Linked DNA regions of Rattus norvegicus. The main gene of each other region encodes a partner of the protein of the gene in region 3 in a complex. Links are inferred from orthologs where the notes say so. Each region holds a gene or a part of one and is shown on either strand. Other genes may lie near its edges.

Region 1 (7,345 bases), on a different chromosome or scaffold from region 3:
AGCGCTCTCTCCCTTTGTCCCTGTCCTTTTGCCTGAGGCTCTACCATTAGAGCCACCACCAGATAGTCTTTGGACCTCCAGCCTCCACAGCCATGAGCCAGAACAGACATTTGATTGTAATTCTCTCAGTCGCCCTCCTGCCCCTCCTCACCTACCCTTTGAGACTGTTCTTACCCCAGCTGTGCTCCCCCGACACTACAGAGCCTTGCTTGGTCCTCAATACCCTTCTCCCTGCTTCAAGTCTTTGACCAGATTCCATCCCAGGAGGCTCACAGATCCTCACCAGTACCTGGCATCCCCGTCTTACCTTGCTTGAGCTGTTTCTCCTTGGTTCTGTAACATATTGTCTGTTGTGTGAATTGTTCATGGTTTCTTTTTTTTTTTTTTTTTTTTTTTTTCGGAGCTGGGGACCGAACCCAGGGCCTTGCGCTTGCTAGGCAAGCGCTCTACCACTGAGCTAAATCCCCAACCCATTTTTCACGGTTTCTAATGTCCCCCTGATCGTTACATTGTGAGTTCTATTGTGGCAAGGACTTTTCCAACATCCCCAGGGGCCTGGCACATAGTAGGTGCCCAGGAAATGCTAGCCCAGTGTTAGTGACTGTGAGAAGCCAGGCACTTCCCTCACTCCCATACCCCCCAGCGTCCTGGTTCTTTGCATGGTGATGGTGACCAGTTGGTTGTCATTGGGCAAGCTGAGACATGGTCATTTCTCATGTTGGTCACTACAATGTCCCCAGTCTTTTTAAAATGTCATAGAACTGTGCTTGTCCTTGAAATGCTGTCCTTGAACTCATTATATGGCCAAGGCTGGCACTGAGCTTCTCATCCTCCTACCTCCCTCTCCTGAGGAGTGACAGGCTTGCCTCGAAGCTCTGTAAGGCTTCAGCTATTAACCCTGTTGCCTCAGTCATGGCCCATGGTTTCTGTCTGAGCAGGATGTTCAGGTGAGGCTGGCCAGCTCTGCATCTCTTTCTGTGGCTTTTCCTCAGTGTCCATTTTGAATTGATCCTCAAAGCTGGGGTACCCTGCTCCCACCTCTAGTGCAGATTCCTCCAGCTGTGGTACAGTGCCAGCTTCCAGGATCCATGCCTGCTCACTTCCTGTATGGAATGGGTCCTTCACACCAACATGCTGGAACCTGGGTCTCACTTGGGCTCATGTGTGGGAAGGAACAGAATGTCTGAAGGCCGGAGACATTTGAGGTTGAAAGGTGCCATTGCCCTGGGTAGAGCTTTATGCCCTCTGAGGGGGAGAAAAAGAAATTCTGTCTACGGTTGCATCCCCGCTGGCTTTGGAGGGGATGGCTTCATCCTGCATGGTCTTTGCAGGACTCTGGCTCCTGGCATGGGTCATTCCTTCCCCGCCCGACCTGTTTTCTGCCCTTTCCTTGAGAGGTCTCCCTCCTAATTGTTGTCTAAGCTGGTTGTGAATCAGGGACCCTACTGCCCCCTCAACCCTTCCCTGTGTGGCTGGGCTAGCTCCCAGGCCTCTGCTACTAAGGCCGGCTCACAGAGGTTGCTACTGGCCCTCAGGACCTTCTGAGAGCAGGATGTATATTTGCTCTCCCTCCCCCTGGGGGCTCATTCTTTGGGAGAAACAAGTCCCACTGAACTAAGCGGTCCAAGTTTTCCTAAGCTGTTGAGAAGACACAAGAGTTGAGCAGAAAGTCAGGAGAGGTCTCAATTACGATGATATTTTTGGGAGAAGGGCAGGGCAGGCCATGCTAATCTTTCCCTGAGGTCCCTCCCGGAGCTCCACCAGCAGGCTCTGTTGCCCTTGGTCTCTCCAAGCAAGCCTCACAACAGAGAAGGCCTAACTTCAAGTATTCCTGGGCCCCGGGGACAGAGGCCAGGTCCTTGGGCAATACGGGCTTGCCAGGCTGGTCTCCAGAAGCTCTGGTCCTTCTGCCTGGCCTCAGATCATTCCCATCCTTGCCTGGAGCCCGGGGTGTAAAGGCTGCTCTCCCTCCCAGCCAGACACCTTCCAGGTTGATGCCCCATTCCTCTCTCAACCTGATCTTAGAAGTCATTTCCCCCAAGGCCAGGCAAAAGTGTTCCCACCGCAACCCATGCCAGCCAGCACATCAGGATGCTCCCAGAGAGGCCTGGGATCGCGCCTGTCAGGTTGGCCGCCCGGTCCCCAGAGCCCAACACATCCAAGTGGAATGAATGAATCGCGCCTGGCAGGGACTTGGCCTCGTTCATGTCCGATTTTCCGGGCCCTCCCTGCCCACGCCGCTGCGGAGAGGGGGTTGGGAGGACATGGATCGGCGAAGGGGGCGGTGCGGCGACCTCCCGGCGTCCCCGGAGAGCCAACTGGAGAGGGGGGGTGCCTCAACTCGGAGATCGCGCCTGTCGGAGCTGGGCGGGAGGTGGCGCCGGGCGCTGAGTGGCGGCTCCGAGTCCACCCCTGGCGCGCCGGTGCGGGCGGGAGGCGGGGAGCGTAGGGGCGGCGGCGGCGCAGCGGTAGCGAGCATGTGCTACGCAGCCCAGTAACCAGGGACGACCGCGGCTACCGAGCCCCGGCGGCTGCGGCGCCCAGCCCCGCGCAACTCCCCGCCGTGGCCGCTTGCACCGCAAAGGCCTGGCCCTCGCCGGATCCCCGAGGCCCCTTGAACCGTCAGCTGCGGTCGCGCAGCGCGCCGGAGCCCCGCGCACGGGACGCGCGGGCACGGCCAGACAAAGGCGCGGCCCCGGCCCGGCCCAGCCCGGCCTGCGGGCCTCCGCGCACCCCGGCCCGACCCAACCGCTCCCGCTGGGCGCCCCGAGCGGGTCCGGCCCGGGGAGCGGGGGCCGCGGCCGCCGAGCATGGGGAAATCCAACAGCAAGTTGAAGCCTGAAGTTGTGGAGGAGCTGACCAGAAAAACCTACTGTGAGTGCGCCCAGATCCCGGATCCCTGATTCCCCATCGCGCCTCGACCTTCCCTCCGCCCTTCTCGGCCGCGCCCCTGCCCCGCACCTGGCCCATTGTTCTACCCGCGCCCCCGCCCCCGGCCCTGGCTGGGTGTCGCCTGTCAGCGTGCTCCAGGGACCACCCCAGGTCCTCAGGGCATCTGCAGCCCACCCACCGCCCCCTCCAGTCCGAAGGGCTCGGGCTGTGCCGGGGTGGGGGGCAAGTGGTCCCAGGAGGGGGCGCCCGGGCGTAGTGTGGCTCTCCTGCTTGGAGCATGGTGGGTGGGTGATTCATGCTTAATGATGCTGCTGCGGCTCCTGCCTCTTGCGAGGTTGGCCTGTCGCCCCCTCCCTGGCAAGTGTGACTGTGTGTTGGGAAGGAGAGGGCTGGTGAGACTGGTAGAATGCTCAGGCAGTGACTGTAAGGGTCCAAGGGTCTTGGGCGCCCTATTAGATGCCGCACTGTTGGGCTGTATTCCTGGTCTCACCCCTTCCTTGCTCCTGTCTCTGCCGCACCAGGAAATGGGTTTGTATAGTCCGAGCTGACGAGCTGACGAGTGAGGGAAGGTCTGTCCTACTCCACAGTCCTCTAGATCAGTCCCAGGGGTGGCTCTCCACGTGCCCAACTTCACAGATAAGTCTCTGCATTCACACCATGTGTCCCCCTCCTTGAAGCCTTTCCAGGGGTGGCCCTGGAAGTGGGGCCTGGGAGGCTTTGGCTGAGTGCTCTCTGCATCACCCAGAAAGACAGGCAGTTGATTGGCAGCTCCGTGGAGATGGAGGCTCTGGTGCAGTGCATGGCCTCTGCTCTCCCCTGCCCCCTATATCGGTCTTCTGAGCAGGTTTGCAGGTCTTGGCCAACCCAGTGCCTTAGCCCCGTGCTCCTTACCCTCCCAGACTTAGAACAAAGGGGGCTTTACTGCCTGGGCTCTCCTGGTCCCTGTCCCGAGGAATCAGAGAGGTCACATCCAGGAACTGCTCCTGTAGAGGTGTCCTTCCCAGCCCAGGCCACCTACTCTCCCTTCCCAGATTCAGTGGGTGGATTTTCTAGCTTGTTGTTGCTTGTGAGGTTGACCGGACCCTTGAAGGTGTGGCCCACAGTCATTAGCAGGTAGGCTGTAGGTGGAACACCCTCCCTCCCTGAATGGGCCGGGACCCCAGGGTCTGGGGAAGGTAGAGGGTTCCGTGGACTTCTCCAGGAACCATGGCACGTGGTGTACCAAGCTGTCTCCATGATGGTGAGGCTGGGGGGCCACAAATGAGTCCTGCTCACTGAGTGTGCCATGCTCACTGAGTGTGCCTCTCTGTGCCTCTCTTTTCCACCCTGGCCAAATGCTGGATTTGTAAGACCCGATGGGGGCCAAGATCCTTTTCTTCAGCCCCATCTCTGAAGGGCTGGCCTTACCTTGGGAAGAATGGGACCAGCAAAACTCTCGTTAGGCACCGGCTTGGTGGTGCTCTGCTGAGCTATTTTTAAAGGCCTTTTGTGATGTGGAGCAGTTTTGTTCAGAGATGGAGGTAGTCTGGGTGCTTTTCCTTCATCTGAGGTCTTTTTAGGGGTAGGGGGATTCACTTGCTTCTGGCTTGTCTCCCCATGGAAGCCAGCTCCCTCCAGGCAGGTCTTTCAGTGGCCCACAGCCATCTCTCGAAGATGATGGTTAATAGGTCTGCAGATCTTAGTGGGAGTAAAATAACCTCATCGGGTAAAGCAGAGCGTGCTCGCCGCTGGCGGCAGGCTCTCCTTGCTTCTCCTTTCTCATGAGGGATGGCAGGCAGCATCTCCCCACTTCCAGGGGAATTCTGAGTAGGGAGTCAAGAGACGCATCATCCAGGAAGTATTCCCAAATGTCACCATCTCCTGTCCCTCCCACTTGGCTTGCTCTTCTCTTAGGTCTGGGCTGAGCTCTGGAGTTGTATTCTCCTGGGGCTGGAGAGATGCTCAGTGCAAGCATGAGGAACTGAGGCGGGTTCCCAGTACCTGACTGAACATGTGGTTCGTGTCCACAACTCCAGCCCAGGGAAGGCAGACCTAGAGGGATCCTGGGAGCTCACTGGCCAGCCAGTCTAGTGAAATGGCCAGTTCTGGGTTCATTGAGAGACACCAGCCCAAACAATCAGGTGGAGGAACTGGAGAGATGACTTAGTGGTTAAGAATGAGCACTGCTGTTTCTTTAAGACCAGAGTTCAATTCCCAGCCCCCATGTCTGGGGCTCACAACTGCCTGTAACTACAGCTCAACCTGAGTCAAAATCTCTCGTCTCTATGGGCTCTGTATTCACGCACACAACTCCCCTAAGCTCCTTGCACATAACTTTTTTTTTTTTCCTCTCGGAGCTGGGAACCGAACCCAGGGCCTTGCACTTGCCTTGTGCTTGCCTTGCACTTGCTAGGGAAGCGCTCTACCACTGAGCTAAATCCCCAACCCCCCTTACACATAACTTAAAATAAAGCAAACCTTTAAAAGCAAAGGAAGGCGGAGAGCCATAACACCCAACATTGACCTCTGGCCTTCAGCTGGTCACCACACGGGTAGAATGCACACACACACACACACACACACACACACACACACACACACACACACACCCCACACGGTGAGAGTCATGTATTGATTTTGGTTCTTGGTTCTGGGGAGACCCAATTGAAGAAACATAGTCTGACTCATACTGCAGGTCCCTGGCTGTCCTATGCTGCAGGGTCCAGTTTGGGGACCCAGTGGCCCTGCCTCAGTCTATGTACCATCCTGGGTTGTGCGGATCTACTGTGGTTTGTGGTCCATGTGAGGCAGGGGTTGGAGGAGAGGAAAGAAGGGAGAGAGACTGAGGACTCCATGAGGAGGCTCCACGAGGACTTCACAACACATCTGGATTCACGCCTGGCTTCAGCCTAGCCAAAGATAACCTTCTTTCAGACTTAATGCTCTGGAACCTTCTGTTCTTCCTGTGCAGATGAGATTATCTGCTGACACTGTGCTCTCCTGCCCTTCTCTGGAACTCCATCTCTAAGTGCATCCGGTTAGCGAAGGGGAAGACCCCTCTACCTCTGCCCCCCAGCCTAGGCAGGACTCACAGACCAGCATGAACAGTAGTAGCAGTGCTGGGGAGAGGGGGTGGGGTCTGCCTCAGTCTCTCAGAACTGATTGGCAAGCCTGTTGTATCCTCATATAATTCAAGCTGAAGGAGAAGCCTTCCCTCTTGCTTAGCTGAGCCTTGCTTTCCTCCTCTGCAAAATGGGTATGGTCTTGGTAGTGACCAAGTGAGTAGAGGTGTAATATGGCATGTCGGGTAAGTAGCCAGGGACTCTCTCCAAATTTGTCACTATTTCGTGAAAACATTACACACACACACACACACACATGCACACACGCACACACACACACCACGCACACACACACCACGCACACCTTATCCCTGCTCCAATGCTGGGATGGAACCCAAGGCCTTACACACAATAAGCCAAGTACTCTATCAGTGAGCCCCAGCCTCAGCTTTGAGCTTCGTTATGAATCAGCCTAAAATGTCTTTGGAGGGTGGTTTCATCTCTGCAGATGGCTCTTCTTGCCATGCCAGTCTTTGTGCTTAGCACAGTAACTCAGGGATGGAGCAAGTCCTGGGCTATTTTTCCTGAGGCCCAGTAGAGCCATGGTTTTACACGGCAGCCTACCACCTTACTGGATCATGTCAGAACGGCTCCCTATCTGCCATTCACTGAGTGTCCACTCTGCTGGGCACACAGAGAAGGAGCAAGAGATACAGTTCCTGCCTCCAGCGGAAACTGGCCGAGTGGCTCACAAATTCTCTGTCCTGGTGTTCGTATATGCGAGGGGCAGAGATCCCTTTCTCCTTAGTTTCTCCCCATCCCTTGGTACTGCTGGCTGGAGACATTCACTCAGGGAGCGGAAGGAGTGGTGGTTTGCATAGGCTTTGCCCAGGGAGTGGCACTATTAGGAGGCGTGGCCTTGTTGGAGTAGGTGTGTCACTGTGGAGGCGGGCAATGAGACCCTCTGCCTGCCAGGAGACAGTCTCTCCTGGCTGCAGTCGGAACAAGATGCTCGGCTCCTCCAGCACCGTGTCTGCCTGCACGCGGCAGTGCTTCCTGCCATGATGATAATGGACTGAACCCCTGAACCTGTAAGGCAGCCCCTGTTAAATGTTGTCCTTTATAAGAGTTGTCTTGATCATGGTGTCTGTTCGCAGCAATGAAACCCTAAGACAGGGATACATTCTTGTCGGTTCCAGCTTGGCCTTGACCTGGCCTGCCAACCTTGAGCCTCTTAGGTTGTTTTTTGAGCACATCAGGAAAGAGAGCAAATGGGTGATCTCTGTGGTTGTGCAGTAGCGGGCATCACCGGGGCCTGTGGTAGAGGGACTTCCTGGTCCAGATGGGGTCGGGTTGAGAGGTGCAGGGACTTACCTGCTGGACTCTGAAGTTTCTGGGTTGGCGTTGTCCAG
Region 2 (7,295 bases), on a different chromosome or scaffold from region 3:
TAGGTGTTCCTTTATATACCTGTCCCGGACCTCGTCAGTACGGCCCGTGCCTGTCTTTCTTATTGGAGTGGGAGCTCCACGAAGCACACTGCCTCTTCCCTCCCACTGTGCCACCACCCAGTGTAAGGCTGGGAAGGGAAGAGGGCTGAGCAGTGACTTAGAGGGTGGCCATTCCCCTTGTGACAATCCTTCTAAATAATTGTCTGCATCGCTTGCTAGCTCAGAGTCTCACTGGAGCCTACTTGTCATTAATCAGGCCCTGGGGCTCACAAGCTCCGTCTGCTTCAGCTGTCTGGAGCCTCTGGGGTGACATAGAGGAGGCCAGGGTCTAGAGGGCAGAAACTGGTTTTTAAAAAAATGTCCGGGGGTTGGGGATTTAGCTCAGTGGTAGAGCGCTTGCCTAGCAAGAGCAAGGCCCTGGCAAGGCCCTGGGTTCGGTCCCCAGCTCCGGAAAAAAAGAAAAGAAAAAAAAATGTCCGGGGGTGCCTAAGGAATGGACTCGCTAACTGCTGCACTGGGTGTGGTGGCTTCAGCAGGGCTGAGATTTACCAGTGTACGATTGGAAAAAGAACATGTCTCTGAACTCGTTGATATCCAGCGAATCCCTAAATGACAATGCCACTACTTTGACCCCCCAGAATTCCCCATCATCCTGCCTCCAAAAAGGACTGCATGATCCGGAGGCTCCTGGGACCACCACTGAGGCAACATAGTGGAAAATATCACTTCCCAAGACAGGCAGCAGCCATTCCACTCAAGCTAGAGACTGAGATCCACGTCCCCAGCAAGAGGGGGAGCCAGTGGACTGGGCGAGCTGGAGTGGATATCAGCCCACGAAGCAGAGGAGGCTAAAAGGGAAGGGTGCTCAGATGTACGAAGGATCCTTGTGCAGAGCTATGTGGCAGCAGTTCTCAACACGCATCTTAGGGATGCTCACAAGGCCATGTTAGCCAGTGCAGGAGATGGGTGAGAAGAAGAATGACGGACAGTCACCAAGAGGAAAAGGATGGCTCAGGACCACTAGAACCAGGTTCTCGGCACAATAGAGATTCATTTGCTCCAAAGGAACAGAGGGCAGGGAATAAGAGACAAAGCCAAGAGATAGAGAATGAGGGAGAAGGGGAGGGGAACATGGTGTGTGTGTGGGGGGGTGGGTGACAGAGGTGGAGAATTTGTCCCAGAGGACAAAGGACTGCCTCTGGATAGAGAGGAGACAGATGTGGCCCATAGGAAAATGGCGGTTTATAAAGGCAAAGGGGAGATTTAGCTCAGTGGTAGAGCGCTTACCTAGGAAGCGCAAGGCCCTGGGTTCGGTCCCCAGCTCCGGGGGGGAAAAAAAAAAAAAAAGAACCAAAAAAAAAAAAAAAAAAGGCAAAGGGGAAACCCCTTGGTAAGATGAGGTGTTTAATTTTAATTGACATGTTAATTAGGCAAGCCAAAGGGGGCTTTTGATTGCTGGACTTCAATACTTTAACAGCTAGGCCTTTGCAGTCAGCCTCAGAAGGAGGGAGTGGCCAAATAAGGGAATAGACCTTGGGGGCTAGCTTTGAAAATGCTAACAGTTTTTAGCAAGGCAGAGGGGATTGGGGGCGGGAGGGGGGAGCCTGCCAGAGTCATGCTTGCCATGTCTGAGTCCCTCAGTCACTAACATCCACCGCGTACCAAGTACCGAGTACCGAGTATCAAGTACCGGGTACCTACATAGCCCTCAACAGAGCTCTTTTTTTTTTTTTTTTTTTTTCTTTTCTATTTTTCGGAGCTGGGGACCGAACCCAGGGCCTTGCGCTTGGTGGGCAAGCGCTCTACCACTGAGCTAAATCCCCAACCCCAACAGAGCTCTTGATCTCTACCAGTGCCTTGGAGTAGTGGAAAAAAGCCAGTGGGTTTATGACTTTCTGTTAGGATGCTTGCAGACAAATCTGACAGCCCTAGTTCAATCCCCAGGATCTGCATAAAGGAGAAGGAGGACTGATTCTCCAGCATGAGCCCTACCCATAAATAAATAAAAATATAATTTTAAACTGTTTAGAGGCCAGCCAGGGCTACAGAGAGAGGGGTGGGGGATGGGGATCCTGTCTAAAAACAAATGTCTGAAGTGGACGAGGAGCAGGCGGGTAAAATAGAATCTCAGCACTGACCGCCTTCAGTGAGCTAAGGGGACACCGTGCCGCGGAAGGCTTCCGAAATAAACCTAATGCATTTCATACTTAAGTTGGTACTAAGAAAAGACATTTATGACAAGTCTCTAAATCTCCTCATGCAATCAGCCTCGCTGTGTCTGCTCCACTTTTACAGATGAGCAGCACAAGAGCTAAAGCCTGTCCAGAATTGGAAGCCTCCTCTCCTGCCTGAGAGCTCAGAGCCTTCATAAAAGGCAGCTTGGAGCCGTGGCCAGCCTGGGCTCGATCTACGTCAAGCAAGTGGCCCTACCTGTCTGAGACACACGGGACTGCCCTAAGGCCGTGCCCAGCTCAGGGGTTTCAGTATCTCAGGCAGTGCTGGTTTCTGGTGGTGCCTCTGTCAATTAGTTAGGCGATGGCTGGGTGTCCAGATGGCATGTGAACGTTGGAGACAAGTGGCCCACTCAGGCGGTGAGATCTCCAGCAAGTGCCTTCTTCTTTCAAAGCATTTTTCCTCCTCAGTAAATGAGGATCAATAAAACAGGACTTGTAAGCTGGGGATGAGGTTGGCTGATAGAACACAGCTAGCAGATGAATGAATGAATGAATGAATGAATGAATGAATGAATGAATGAATGAGCAAGCATAGCTGGACAGGGAAACATGCCTGTAACCTTATGGCTCAGGGGCTAAGGCAAGAGGATCATGAGTTCAAAGCCAGTCTGAGCTACTTAGAGAGACCTGTCTCCAACCAAACCAAACCAAATATAACTTGCGTAAATCAGAAATGTCAAGATGGGAAAGACAAAGCAAGGGGAGGGACTATTCCAAATTAAACCAGAATAACAAAGCCAGGTACAGAGGAGCGCCTTTAATCCCAGCGCTCAACATGAAAGGACAGGTGGGTCTCTGTGAGTTGGAGAACAACCTGATCTATAAAGTGAATTCCAGGCTAGCCACGGCGACAGAGTGAAATCCTGTCTCTCAATAAATATAACGAGAAACAAAATTCAATGTAGGATCCCAGACCAGCAAGGGGGAGGGGGGAGCAACAGGGAACATTCTGAAGAGAGTGGACAATGGCATAGGAACAGTGTTGTTTCTATTCTGTGTTAACTATCTTGACTTGCTTAACTTGGTTAATCATACTATGGCTTATGTAAGAGAATGTCTTATTCTTAGGAAATACATCTCTTACCGGAGAGGTAAAGGATGAATCCTGAGAACAGCCAGAAACCAGGGTGCACAGCGATACTAAACGCCAGGAAACTCTCTAGCTGAGTGTGGACTAAGGATACTCAGGAACTTTCTAGGGTTTTCTTTCTCTCCTTTGATGGGTTAGTGGGGGAGGGGAGACAGTTTCATAATGTCTAGGCTAGCCTCAAATTCATTTGGTTGGGCTGGAGAGATGGCTCAGGGTGGTTAAGAGCACTGACTGCTCTTCCAGAGGTCCTGAGTTCAATTCCCAGCAACCACATGGTGGCTCACAACCATCTGTAATGGGATCCGATGCTCTCTTCTGGTATCTGAAGACAGCTACAGTGTACTCATACAAATAAAAATAAATCTTTAAAAAAATAATTCAGGGGTTGGGGATTTAGCTCAATGGTAGAGCGCTTGCCTAGCAAGCGCAAGGCCCTGGGTTCGGTCCCCAGCTCTGAAAAAAAGAAAAAAGAAAAAAAAATTCATTTGGTAGCTAAGGCTAGTTTTGAACTCTTGACCCTCCTGCCTCTAACTCTACAGTAGTTTTAGCTTTCTGCTTTTCTTTCAATGGAAAGTCGTTTCATTCTAAAAGATTTTTGTAAATAGGATGAGAAAAACATCCTCTGCCACTACTCGGGACCAGGTATGTCCAGAGGCTAAAAAAAGGGGGGGAGGGGTTCAGAAACGGAGGCTGAGAAGCCAATGTCGATGGTCGCTCACCTGCACAATTTCTAGCATCTCCTCCCGGCTGATGTAGCCATTGCCGTCCAGGTCGTACATGCTGAAGGCCCACATGAGCTTCTGCTCCAGGCGGCCACGCGAGGTCACGCTCAGAGCGATGATGAACTCCCGGAAGTCGATGGTGCCGTCGCTGTTGGTGTCAAAAGTGCGGAAGACATGCTCGGCGAACTTGGAGGCATCGCCGTAGGGGAAGAAGTTGGCGTAGATCTTCTTGAACTCATCCACGTTGAGGATGCCAGTCGGGCAGTCCTTCAGGAAGCCCTTGTACCACTCCTGAAGCTCCAGCTCAGAGAACTCGGTGTTCTCTCGCAGGTCCTGCAGCATCTCTGGCCGCAGCTTGCTATTCTGCTTGCCCATGGCAGAAGAGCCAAGTCCCACCTGGGTTCCCCCCAACCAAAGGAAGTGAAAGGAGAGAGCAATGGTTACGTCCTTTTAGTCCCTTGACACTACTCCAGAAGGGCCCTCAGACACAAGATACCCCAAACTCTCATTTGACCCAAAAAGAGAGAGGTGGCCCCAGACCACACACTCTGCTCTGTGACGTGCATGTCTGGGGAACAGACACAAAGAAGAAGGAAGGGTCCAGCTCACGCTCACTGACACCCTTCTGGCTGTCCGTGGTAAGCCCATTCACAAGTACACATTTTCACCCTCCTAAGGGGACATTGGGTTGGCTCCATTTTCTACATGAGAAGGGAGGCTCAGAAAAGTAAGGTGGTCTGCTACAGATCACAAGGACACTATCAATAGAGCTGACTCCCAGAGTGTCCTAGAAGGGTGCAGAAACGCTTCTGAACCCCCCTTTGCACCTGCTGCCCCATTCCTGGCTTCCCAGAGGTCTGTTGACTCCACAGCGGACTTGCTGTTCGGACACTGATTTTCTTCCTGAAGATATGCTTAACAGGGGGTTATTAACCTGGACCCCGAAGCCAGAACTCCTGGGCTCAAATACCAGCTTTCCCTCCTAACAGCTGTGTGCCTTGGACAGTTTCCTTAAACTCTCTGTCTCAACCACAAAGGGGGTTTAATAATAGCACTTACTTCATAGGGTTATCTCGGGAATTAAATTAGTTAATACCTGTGAACATGTTGGAATCATGTCTGAGGAGGCAGGTGCGACATGCATGTTAAATGGGTAAAAATGATTTACATGTATCCAGATTCCACAAAGATCAGGCTTGATATGCAAGTGCATGTCCCCCAGCACACATGATGCCACACAGATCACCGAGTTCTCCCTAGGCTCTCTGCCACTCACATACTAGCCTCTACCCCACATGGGTCACCGTGCCTCCACACGCAATAATCCCACTGCCCCACACAACTCACACGCACTGACACACAGCACCACGCACAACTCCCATACACCAAGCATCAAGACACACCAGCCCACGACCCCACATGTCTCACACATGCCATGACACGCCAACTCGAATGCCGACACCTCTCACATGGCCAGCTGCACGTGGGACCTTCAGGCACCCTTGTCATTTGTCTTTCTATCCCCGAGGTGCTGCCAGGTCCCAGGAGAGGGAGCTGCAGCCCTTCCTCAGACCTGAGGAGGACTCTTTTTCTTGGGGAGCCTACCCAGCCCACCCAAACCTCCCTCATCACTCACATTTTCTCTGGTTTCAAAAGGTCCCCTCAGGGCAGGGATTAAAGTGTAAGGCAAGCACAAGTGACAGAGGGGAAGTAGCCGGGCAGTCATAAGCATAGGTGTAGGGGTGTGTGCAAGTGGGTCCTGAGGTTGGAGATACGAGTAAGACAGGATGAAAAGGGTTCCTGTGCATGTGGGTACATGAAGCTCTATGCACATGTGTGTGCACATGTGTGTGGGTGCGTGTTGAATGCGTATGCTCACCCATGATGTGGGTCCTGGGCTCTGCACCGCATCTATCTCCCTATGCGTTTCCGTGCATGTCTGCATGTGAATTCTATATGCGTGTTGAGCGGGCATGCACCTGTCACAGAGAGGAACGTTCCCCAGGAATGTGAGGGGACCTGTGTCTGTCCTCAGTAGTGTGTGTCATGCATGTTCCTGTAAGTTGGTGCTCCCTCCTTTCTGGATCAGCCTCTTCTGCCCCAGGCTGAGAAGCCACGGAACAAGTGTGTGGGAAGGGACTGAGGAAATGCGCAGGGCTGAACAAGGGAGCGTGTCCCTTACTCCCCTCCTCAAGGTCCAAGGAACTGGGTCAGCGGGGCGGGGGCAGAGTGATGCGCTGAGCAGGAGCGCTCCTCTAGGTGCCCCTTCCTCTCGGCCACCCTCGGCATTGCCTTTCCCAGCTGGAAGAAATGTGTTTTCTCCTCAAAGACCCCCAGTGCCCAAAATAGGAGGAATCTCACAGCTCGATCTGAGAAACCCGCCCTAGCATCCCCTCCAAACCTCCCCGGCGCCGGCCCTGAGCCCCCGCCTCCATCCTTCCCGCACTGGGTTCGAGGTACCTCCTGGAGGGGGCGCCCGGGACGGTCGACGCGCGACTCCCGGGAGCCGGCCACTTGGCGGTCAGGACCCTGGAGAGCGCCGTGCGATTTCCCCCGGGGCAGCCCGGGGCTGGCAGCGCCGCGGGTGGGAGGAATTCCACGAAGCTCGGGGAGGAGCGGGCTGGGGAACACTGGACTTGGGTTCCTGGCTCCCAGGCTTCCCTCCCCTCATCCCCGACCCCGGCTCGAGCGGCCCCCACTCACCCAGCAACGCCGAGACACCGACTGCGCAGGGAAGGCGGCGCTGCTGCGGCGCGCGGCGGCAGAGGCGGCCAGAGGGGCGGGCGAGACTGTGAAGGAGACGCCCCGCAGCGTTGGCCCGGAGCCCCTCCCCTGGGGGGGTCCCCCGCCGGCAGCTAGGCTCCGCCCCCGCCCCCTCCCGGGAGAGAGAACGGAACGCCCTCGATGCCCCGGCCCCCTCTCTAGGGAGCACTTCACCCTGGGAGGATGATCCGGACCCCCAGCTCTGCAAGCCGACCCGGAGGGGCAAGGAAAGAGGCGGGTCAGTGTCCAGGGACTGCTCTCCTAAGCCAGGAACAATCCACCCTTACCTGGGCGCGGGGCCGCCTGTCGCCCCGCTCCGAGGGCGGAATCCGATAGGCACCCTCGCTGCCCCCGCACCTCAACTCCGGAGCCAGATGAACTGGGGGCTCTCTAGGGAGGAGGGAGAGCCTATGCCTCAGTTCCAAGGTCTTCCAGGGGCCAGACACGCCCCCTGCTACCTCCGCCGCAGAGAGCCCGACCCCCTTT
Region 3 (6,552 bases):
ATCTATAGCATCCTCTAACCAACTACTTAGATTACTCTGAGCCATCTGTGAACAAGCTTTGGAGAAACGATTTTGAGGACTGGTTATGAAATCACTTACTCCCAGGACATCACTGCCGTATTAAACAAACAAACAAGCACCATGACTGGATTTTTTTCATTTAGCCCAATGGACTTAAGTCCCCTTTCTGCCTTCATAGCTGTCCCCATCAGTTGGCCCAAGTAGGTAAAAACTTGGTACTGCACCAGTCTAATGACCTGAGTCCAATCCTGGAGCTCAAGTAAGGCAGGAGAGAAATGACGTCAGTCACAGTGCTGTCCTCCATCTCCACAGGGATGTACCCAATGCCTACATGTGCTCTTACTCCCCATCTCCTGTCCTCCCAGCCCTATCCCACTAGTAAAAAGATTAAAAAAAAAAAAAAAAAAAAAAAAGTGTGACACGCTTGTGTTACTGTACGGAGTCTGGGCACGCCCAGGAAGTGCCAGATGGGATCTGTTCCGCTCTCTGAGGCTCATCTGAGTCCTGTCCCCACTGCAAGCCAGGCCTACTCACCACACCACGGTCTCCCAGGTCCAAGGCATCCCAAGTGAAGCCCTGGGGTAGGGTGTAGGGCTCCTGGCGAATGTTGTCTTTGTCAGGTTCCACAGGGCCATGGGTGTTTACCACTTCACCTAGAAGAAGAGCACAGCCCAAGTCCATTGTCTGCCCACAGCATGCGAGGAGGAGCTCACTGAAGACATTCCCTGGAAGGCTAGGAGTTCAGCTGGTAGAGTGGCTGCCTTGCTTGTGCGTGTAATTCCTAGTACTAAATAACTGGGGCAGAGTGGGACAAGCCTGTAACTCCAGCACTCAGGAGAGGCAGAGGGACCAGAACTTCAAAGTCATTTTCCACTGCACAGTGAGTGTAAGGCCAGTCTGGGTGACATAGACCCTGTCTCAGAAAACAAACAAACAAACAAACCAGAGTAAATTTCTGCCATCCCTAGGAACCCTGCAGCTGAAGAACACTCTATGCTTGGTACCTGTAATCTCTCTCCAGTCACCTTTGACCCCCAGTTGAGGGCGAATGTCCACAAAACACTCAGAATAATCTCTAGGATCCACGGTGGCTCAGTTTGGGAAATCCTTCTCACCACAGGCTCCTGAAGGACAAACACCATGGCTACTTTGGCTTCCTGTCTCCTGGTGGGTGTAGGGTGTCGTCATGTTCTAGCCCAGACACTCTTCCCTGACTGGAGGTTTGTAAGGTTGCATAAGCCTGCCTTTGTGTCAAGACCAACGACAGTGTTCCGGGCTCGCCCTTCAGTCAGATGATAGCTCTGGCAGCCAGGGTCTCTCAGCCTTCCAGCTTCAGCCTCCAGGCCTGTGGCCCAGCAACTGCCAGGTCAGGGCATCAGGGCTTTGAGCCCTAGAGATGCCTTTGGGTTGAATCACCCTCCTGCATGATGCTGCCGGGAAGTCACCCTCTGACACAACCCCTCCTCTGCCAAGAGCTTGGAAGCTGAGATGGAGGGAGGAACTGAAACCAGATGAGGCTGGAGAGGAAACCCAGGCAGGCGAACCCTCCCTTTCAATAGGTTTTGTTTACTTTGCCCCCCCCCTCTTTTTTAAAAGAGAATACTAAGTAGCCAAGGCTGTCCTTGTGCTCTCAGCAATCCTGTCTCAGCCTCCCAGTGCTGGATTCCAGGTATGCATCTGATAGCCAGCACTCCACAACAGTCCGCAGACACTCAACTTCCCCTGTCGGAGGTGGCAAGCTCAGTACAACACCTCCCATGCCCGTCGTGCAAAGCCTAGAGCAGCATGAGGTAAAGGCAGGTTATGAGCCTCAGAGGGAGGAGAGCCTGCTCCCCTCAACAGGACAAGGAAAGAGGGTAGCTAGACAGAATGACAGATCGAAGAGGTCTGAAGGCTCACTCAGGGCACCTAACAACAGTTACCCAGACCGAAGCTTCTGAAACTGTGAATTGTAACCTTGGGTTACGTAAGTCAAAGTGTGGGGGTGTCAAGAAAAATTCAGCAATAGCAAAACCAAAAACAAATTGAAAATTAAACATGTATGGAATCTGAGGTAGTTCAGGCAGTGTCATGTGACTTCACTGTAGCCTTGGCTCTGAACACACATGGGCACATTGTACTGTGTATACCAACATGCCAAAAAACATCAATGATCTGCCTCAGACCCTACATGGATGGTGGCTGGAAGACGGCTCCGGGGCAGAGCACTGCTGCTCTTCAGTTCAGTTCCATTGCCAGCACCCATGTCAGGCGGCTCCTAACTGCCCTCTGAGGGCAAAGGCATACCTAACACACGCAGGCACAGGCACATTTAAGCTTGTTTGTTTCTTGTGTGCATGAGTGTTTTGCCTGCATGTATATATATGGTGTCCATGGAGGTCAGCCGAAGAGGTCAGATCTCCTGGACCTGGAGTTAAGAATGGTTGCCAGCGGGGCTGGAGAGATGGCTCAGTGGTTAAGAACACCCGACTGTTCTTCCAGAGGTCATGAGTTCAATTCCCAGCAACCACATGGTGGCTCACAACCATCTGTAAAGAGATCCGATGCCCTCTTCTGGTGTGTCTGAAGACAGCTACAGTGTACTTATATATAATAAAATAAATCTTTAAAAAAAAAAAAAAAAAAAAAAAAAAAGAATGGTTGCCAGCCACCACCTAGTGCTGGAACGGAACCTGGGTCTTCTACCTGGACAAGTGTTCCTAACCACTGAGTCATTTCCTTTGCCCCCACATAATTGAAAAATAAAATCACTCAACAAATTTTGTTTTACAGAGGTATATGCCATGCCCACCCAGATTTAGTTCTTTCTCTTTTTTGAGAGAACCTCTTTTTTGGGGTTCTCTGTGCAACAGCCCTCGCTGTCCTAGAACTCACTGTACAGACCAGGCTGGCCTCGAAACTCAGAGATGCCTCCGCTGCCTGAAAGCTGGGATTAAAGGCATGTGCCCCCACACCTGGCCATTTTCATTTTGTCATGACACAGACCACTGTAAATCAGAAAACGCCAGTCAGGTGACAGACAAATGCCACGGAACAGAGCTGTCTTTTTACTTCCTGGTTTTTGACTTGGCTCTGCCCTCCTAACCACAGTGTACTGCAAATGTCACAATGTTTCTGCAGAACAGTGGCACTGACAACTTGACCATCTCTTACTTTTGGTGTTAGGGCTTGAGTTTTGTTTTATAAAACAAAATGTGCTGGAGAGATGGCTCAGCGGTTAAGAGTACACACTGCAGAAGACCCAAAATCACTTCCCAGAATCTGTATTGGGTGGCTCGCAACTGTCTGTTTCCTGGGTCTGTACTCAAGGCACATATTCACACGCATACATATATACATATATATTTTTTTTTTGGTTCTTTTTTTCGGAGCTGGGGACCAAACCCAAGGCCTTGCGCTTCCTAGGCAAGCGCTCTACCACTGAGCTAAATCCCCAACCCCCATATATTTTAACAATATATGGATATTAGAAGAAAACATGTGACAGTTTGTATATGCTCAGCCCAGGACATGGCACTATTAGGAGGTGTGGTCTTGTTGGAGTAGGTGTGCCACTGTGGGCATGGACTTTAAGACCCTCATCCTAGCTGCCTGGAAGTCAGTCTTCTAGCAGCCTCCAGATGAAGATGTAGAACTCTTAGCTCCTCCTGCACCATGCCTGCCTGGATGCTGCCATGCTCCCTCCTCAATGATAATGGACTGAACCTCTGAACCTGTGAGCCAGCCCCAATTAAATGCTGTCCTTATAAGAGTTGCCTTGGTCATGGTATCTGTTCACAGCAGTAAAACCCTAACTAAGACAAAATACAGATTTACTTCCTCAACTACAGACATAAGAAGCAAGACTTGGGTCCCTGAATCACTCATAGAGCCTTTGTCCACCAGAGGCCCTGAGGTTGGCCACCCAGGTCAGCTGTGGTTCAGACCTAGTAGACATCTCTAACTCCAGTATGTGCAGTCTTTTCTGGAATACTTTTGGGACTTGTCTGTCCAATCCCTTTATAAGTTTATTATATCATTTTTTTAGTTTTGTTTTTTTTTGGACGGGGCTCTCACTATGATGTAGCTTTGCTGGGCTGAAACTCCCCCTGTAGACCGGATAGCCTCAAAGACAGGATCTACCTGCTTCTGCCTCCAGGTAATGGAAGCAAAGGTGTGTCCCACCCCCTAACTTCACTGTGGCTTTTAAGGCCCCCTGATGAAGCCCACATGTGCCCCTCAGAAGTGAGCCATGACTGCATTTGAATTTAGTAAGCACTCCCTGAGGGGAGTGGAGGAGCCTGCGGACTCTCCCCAGTCCAGAGTTCACATTTGTCTATACAAACAAAACAGCCTTTCACTAATTTAAGAGGGAAGTCAGATATTCCCACTTATCATGGGTTATGATGTCGTTCTCTGAAGATTTATTTAAGAGAAGAAAGGACTAAAAAGAACCATCTTTGTTCTGTGTGTCTGCCCTGAAATGATAAGGTCTCTCAACAATAGTCTTTTATACATTTCTTCTAAGGACTAGCCTTACCCAAGAACTCTAGGCCCTCCCAGCCCTCCCTTATAAAACCCATACAGAGGTGTGGCTAAGGCCCACTCCTTGCTCTCACCTGGAAAAGGAGGCACATACCTAATTTGGGCACTGGCTGTGTATCCCAGAACTGGTAGCTTCGTTTACTGGCTTCCTCCATGGTTTTGGCGGGCCCCTGACCCACTGAGAACAGCTCAATGGCTTTCTGTATTTCCTGGATCCTCTCTGCTGGCAAAGAGTTCATCTGGGCAAGACAGTTGGAGAAAAAAAAAGGCCCATTGTGTTAGCGAGACTTAACGATTCACTGTGAATTTGAGAGTTGGCGAGGCCATGCATGGTGAAGCAAGCCTTTAATTCTAGCACTGGGAGACAGAGACAGGCAAATCTCTGTGAGCCAGCTTGCTTTACACGGAGAGCTCCAGGCCAACTAGAGCTTAATGGCGAAACCCTGTCTCAAATAGTTAGCTTGGAACTGGAGTGCAAATCTAATCCTAGCTCTCAGGAGGTAGAGGCAGGAAAATTAGAAGTCAAAGCCAACCTTGGCTACATGAGACCTTGTATCAAAAAGAACAAACAAACAAACATACAACAGTTCAGAGCTGCAGAGATGGCTCAGTCGGTAAAGAGGCCCTGAGTTCGACCTCTAGCACCCACATAAACAAAAGTTAGCAATGGTAGTCTCTGTGTAATTGTGCTGCTGGGGAGGCAGAGCTAGGGGGATCCCTAGGGGCTGTGGGCCAACCAACCCAGCCAAACCACAAAGCTCTGGATTCAGTGAGAAACCTGTCTCAAAGATGAGGTGACAAGCCTGGGCGATGGTGGCGCACGCCTTTAGTCCCAGTGAGGCCAGCCTGGTCTAGGACAGGGAAGGCTACACAGAGAAACCCTGCCTTGAAAAAAACAAAACAGGTGGCAAGTGGTTAAGGAAGAAAACCAACACTGACCTCAGGCTTCTACATAGCATGTGTAACACTCACGACCAAGTACACACAAACATATGACCAAGCGTTCAAAAGTCAAAGAATACTATCCAAAACCAGGGTGTGGGTCTTTAGTACGAATCATAAGACATGGAGAAAAGAGCCGTTGAGAATTAGTAATGGGGCGCTGCCTATGGGATTTTGTTGCTTTGATTTTTTTGTTCTTTTTGGGGTTTTTGTTTGGTTGTTTTTTTGTCTTGAGATGGGGGTCTCATTTCGAGGTATTGGCTGGCCTGGAAATCATGTAACCCAGGATGACCTCAAACTTTCAGTTCATCTTGCCTCTGCTTCATTACCAGTGTGTGCCGCCACACTTGGATGTCCTCGGGTATTCCTCCCCATCCCAGTCTCATGCTGTTTATGCCAAAAGTAATGGAGCTGACTGCAAACTTTCAAGCAATGCAGAGTAGAAAGCACAGGGAGAAAAGCCTGTAGCCGGGTGCGGTGCTGTAGGTTTGTCGTCCCAGTACCTGAGAGGCCTAAATACGAGGATCAGAAGTTCAGGCCAGCATGGGCAACATAAGATACTGTCTTAAAAAATACAGGGGGCAGTGGGAGTGGAGAAGCAGCTCGGCAGTTCTTCTACAGGACCTAGGTTTGATTTTTAGCACACACATGGAGGCTCACAAGTGTTTCAACTCTGGTCCCAGGGGATCTGATACTCTCTTCTGACCTCCACTCACCCTGTACACATGTGGTGCACAGACGTGCATGCAAGCAAAAAACCGAGACCCACAAAAACAATCAACCCTACCCTCCCAACTACGATCCTCATTATGAGCAGTTTTAATCTGAAATTTTGAGAAATATACAGAACCCCATACTTCTTTGCATGCAAGGTCTAAAAGCATAGATTTTTTTTTTTTTAAATAGTAAAACTGGGAACTGACAAAATGACTTATCTAAAGGTACTTCCTACTAGGCCTGAGTTCAGTCCCCAGGACCCACACAGTGGAAAAAGAGCACCAACTGCCAAACTGTCCTTGGACTCTTACAGGTAGGCCGTGGCACACGGGCCTCCCCTCCATAAGC

The links. The genes of interacting proteins can lie anywhere in the genome.
Region 1: the proteins of Nmt1 (region 3) and Ncs1 are in contact, whole or in part, in a crystal structure (PDB 5O9S), measured with the Homo sapiens proteins. The link is inferred for Rattus norvegicus from reciprocal best matches to the Homo sapiens genes NMT1 and NCS1. Residues at the interface, in NP_066565.1 of Homo sapiens: Tyr180, Val181, Glu182, Asp183, Asp184, Asp185, Met187, Phe188, Arg189, Phe190, Tyr192, Asn246, Thr282, Ala283, Gly284, Arg295, Tyr296, His298, Ser300, Lys310, Phe311, Ser312, Tyr401, Leu403, Ser405, Tyr420, Gly468, Ile469, Gly470, Asp471; in NP_055101.2 of Homo sapiens: Gly2, Lys3, Ser4, Asn5, Ser6, Lys7, Leu8, Lys9.
Region 2: the proteins of Nmt1 (region 3) and Hpca are in contact, whole or in part, in a crystal structure (PDB 7OWM), measured with the Homo sapiens proteins. The link is inferred for Rattus norvegicus from reciprocal best matches to the Homo sapiens genes NMT1 and HPCA. Residues at the interface, in NP_066565.1 of Homo sapiens: Tyr180, Val181, Glu182, Asp183, Asp184, Asp185, Met187, Phe188, Arg189, Phe190, Tyr192, Ile245, Asn246, Phe247, Thr282, Ala283, Gly284, Tyr296, His298, Ser300, Lys310, Phe311, Ser312, His313, Tyr401, Leu403, Ser405, Tyr420, Gly468, Ile469; in NP_002134.2 of Homo sapiens: Gly2, Lys3, Gln4, Asn5, Ser6, Lys7, Leu8, Arg9.

Annotation. Positions count from the first base shown.
Region 1 is NC_086021.1:34,918,199-34,925,543, forward strand, and holds the start of Ncs1 (neuronal calcium sensor 1), read left to right. Parts: upstream 1-2,750; 5' UTR 2,751-2,810; coding exon 2,811-2,874; intron 2,875-3,046; exon of another isoform or gene 3,047-3,158; intron 3,159-7,345. UniProt on the Homo sapiens protein: Neuronal calcium sensor, regulator of G protein-coupled receptor phosphorylation in a calcium dependent manner. Directly regulates GRK1 (RHOK), but not GRK2 to GRK5. Can substitute for calmodulin. Stimulates PI4KB kinase activity.
Region 2 is NC_086023.1:146,743,764-146,751,058, forward strand, and holds the start of Hpca (neuron-specific calcium-binding protein hippocalcin), read right to left. Parts: upstream 4,596-7,295; 5' UTR 4,422-4,595; coding exon 4,044-4,421; intron 1-4,043. UniProt on the Homo sapiens protein: Calcium-binding protein that may play a role in the regulation of voltage-dependent calcium channels. May also play a role in cyclic-nucleotide-mediated signaling through the regulation of adenylate and guanylate cyclases.
Region 3 is NC_086028.1:88,504,612-88,511,163, reverse strand, and holds part of Nmt1 (glycylpeptide N-tetradecanoyltransferase 1), read right to left. Parts: intron 4,785-6,552; coding exon 4,640-4,784; intron 1,252-4,639; exon of another isoform or gene 1,026-1,251; intron 675-1,025; coding exon 556-674; intron 1-555.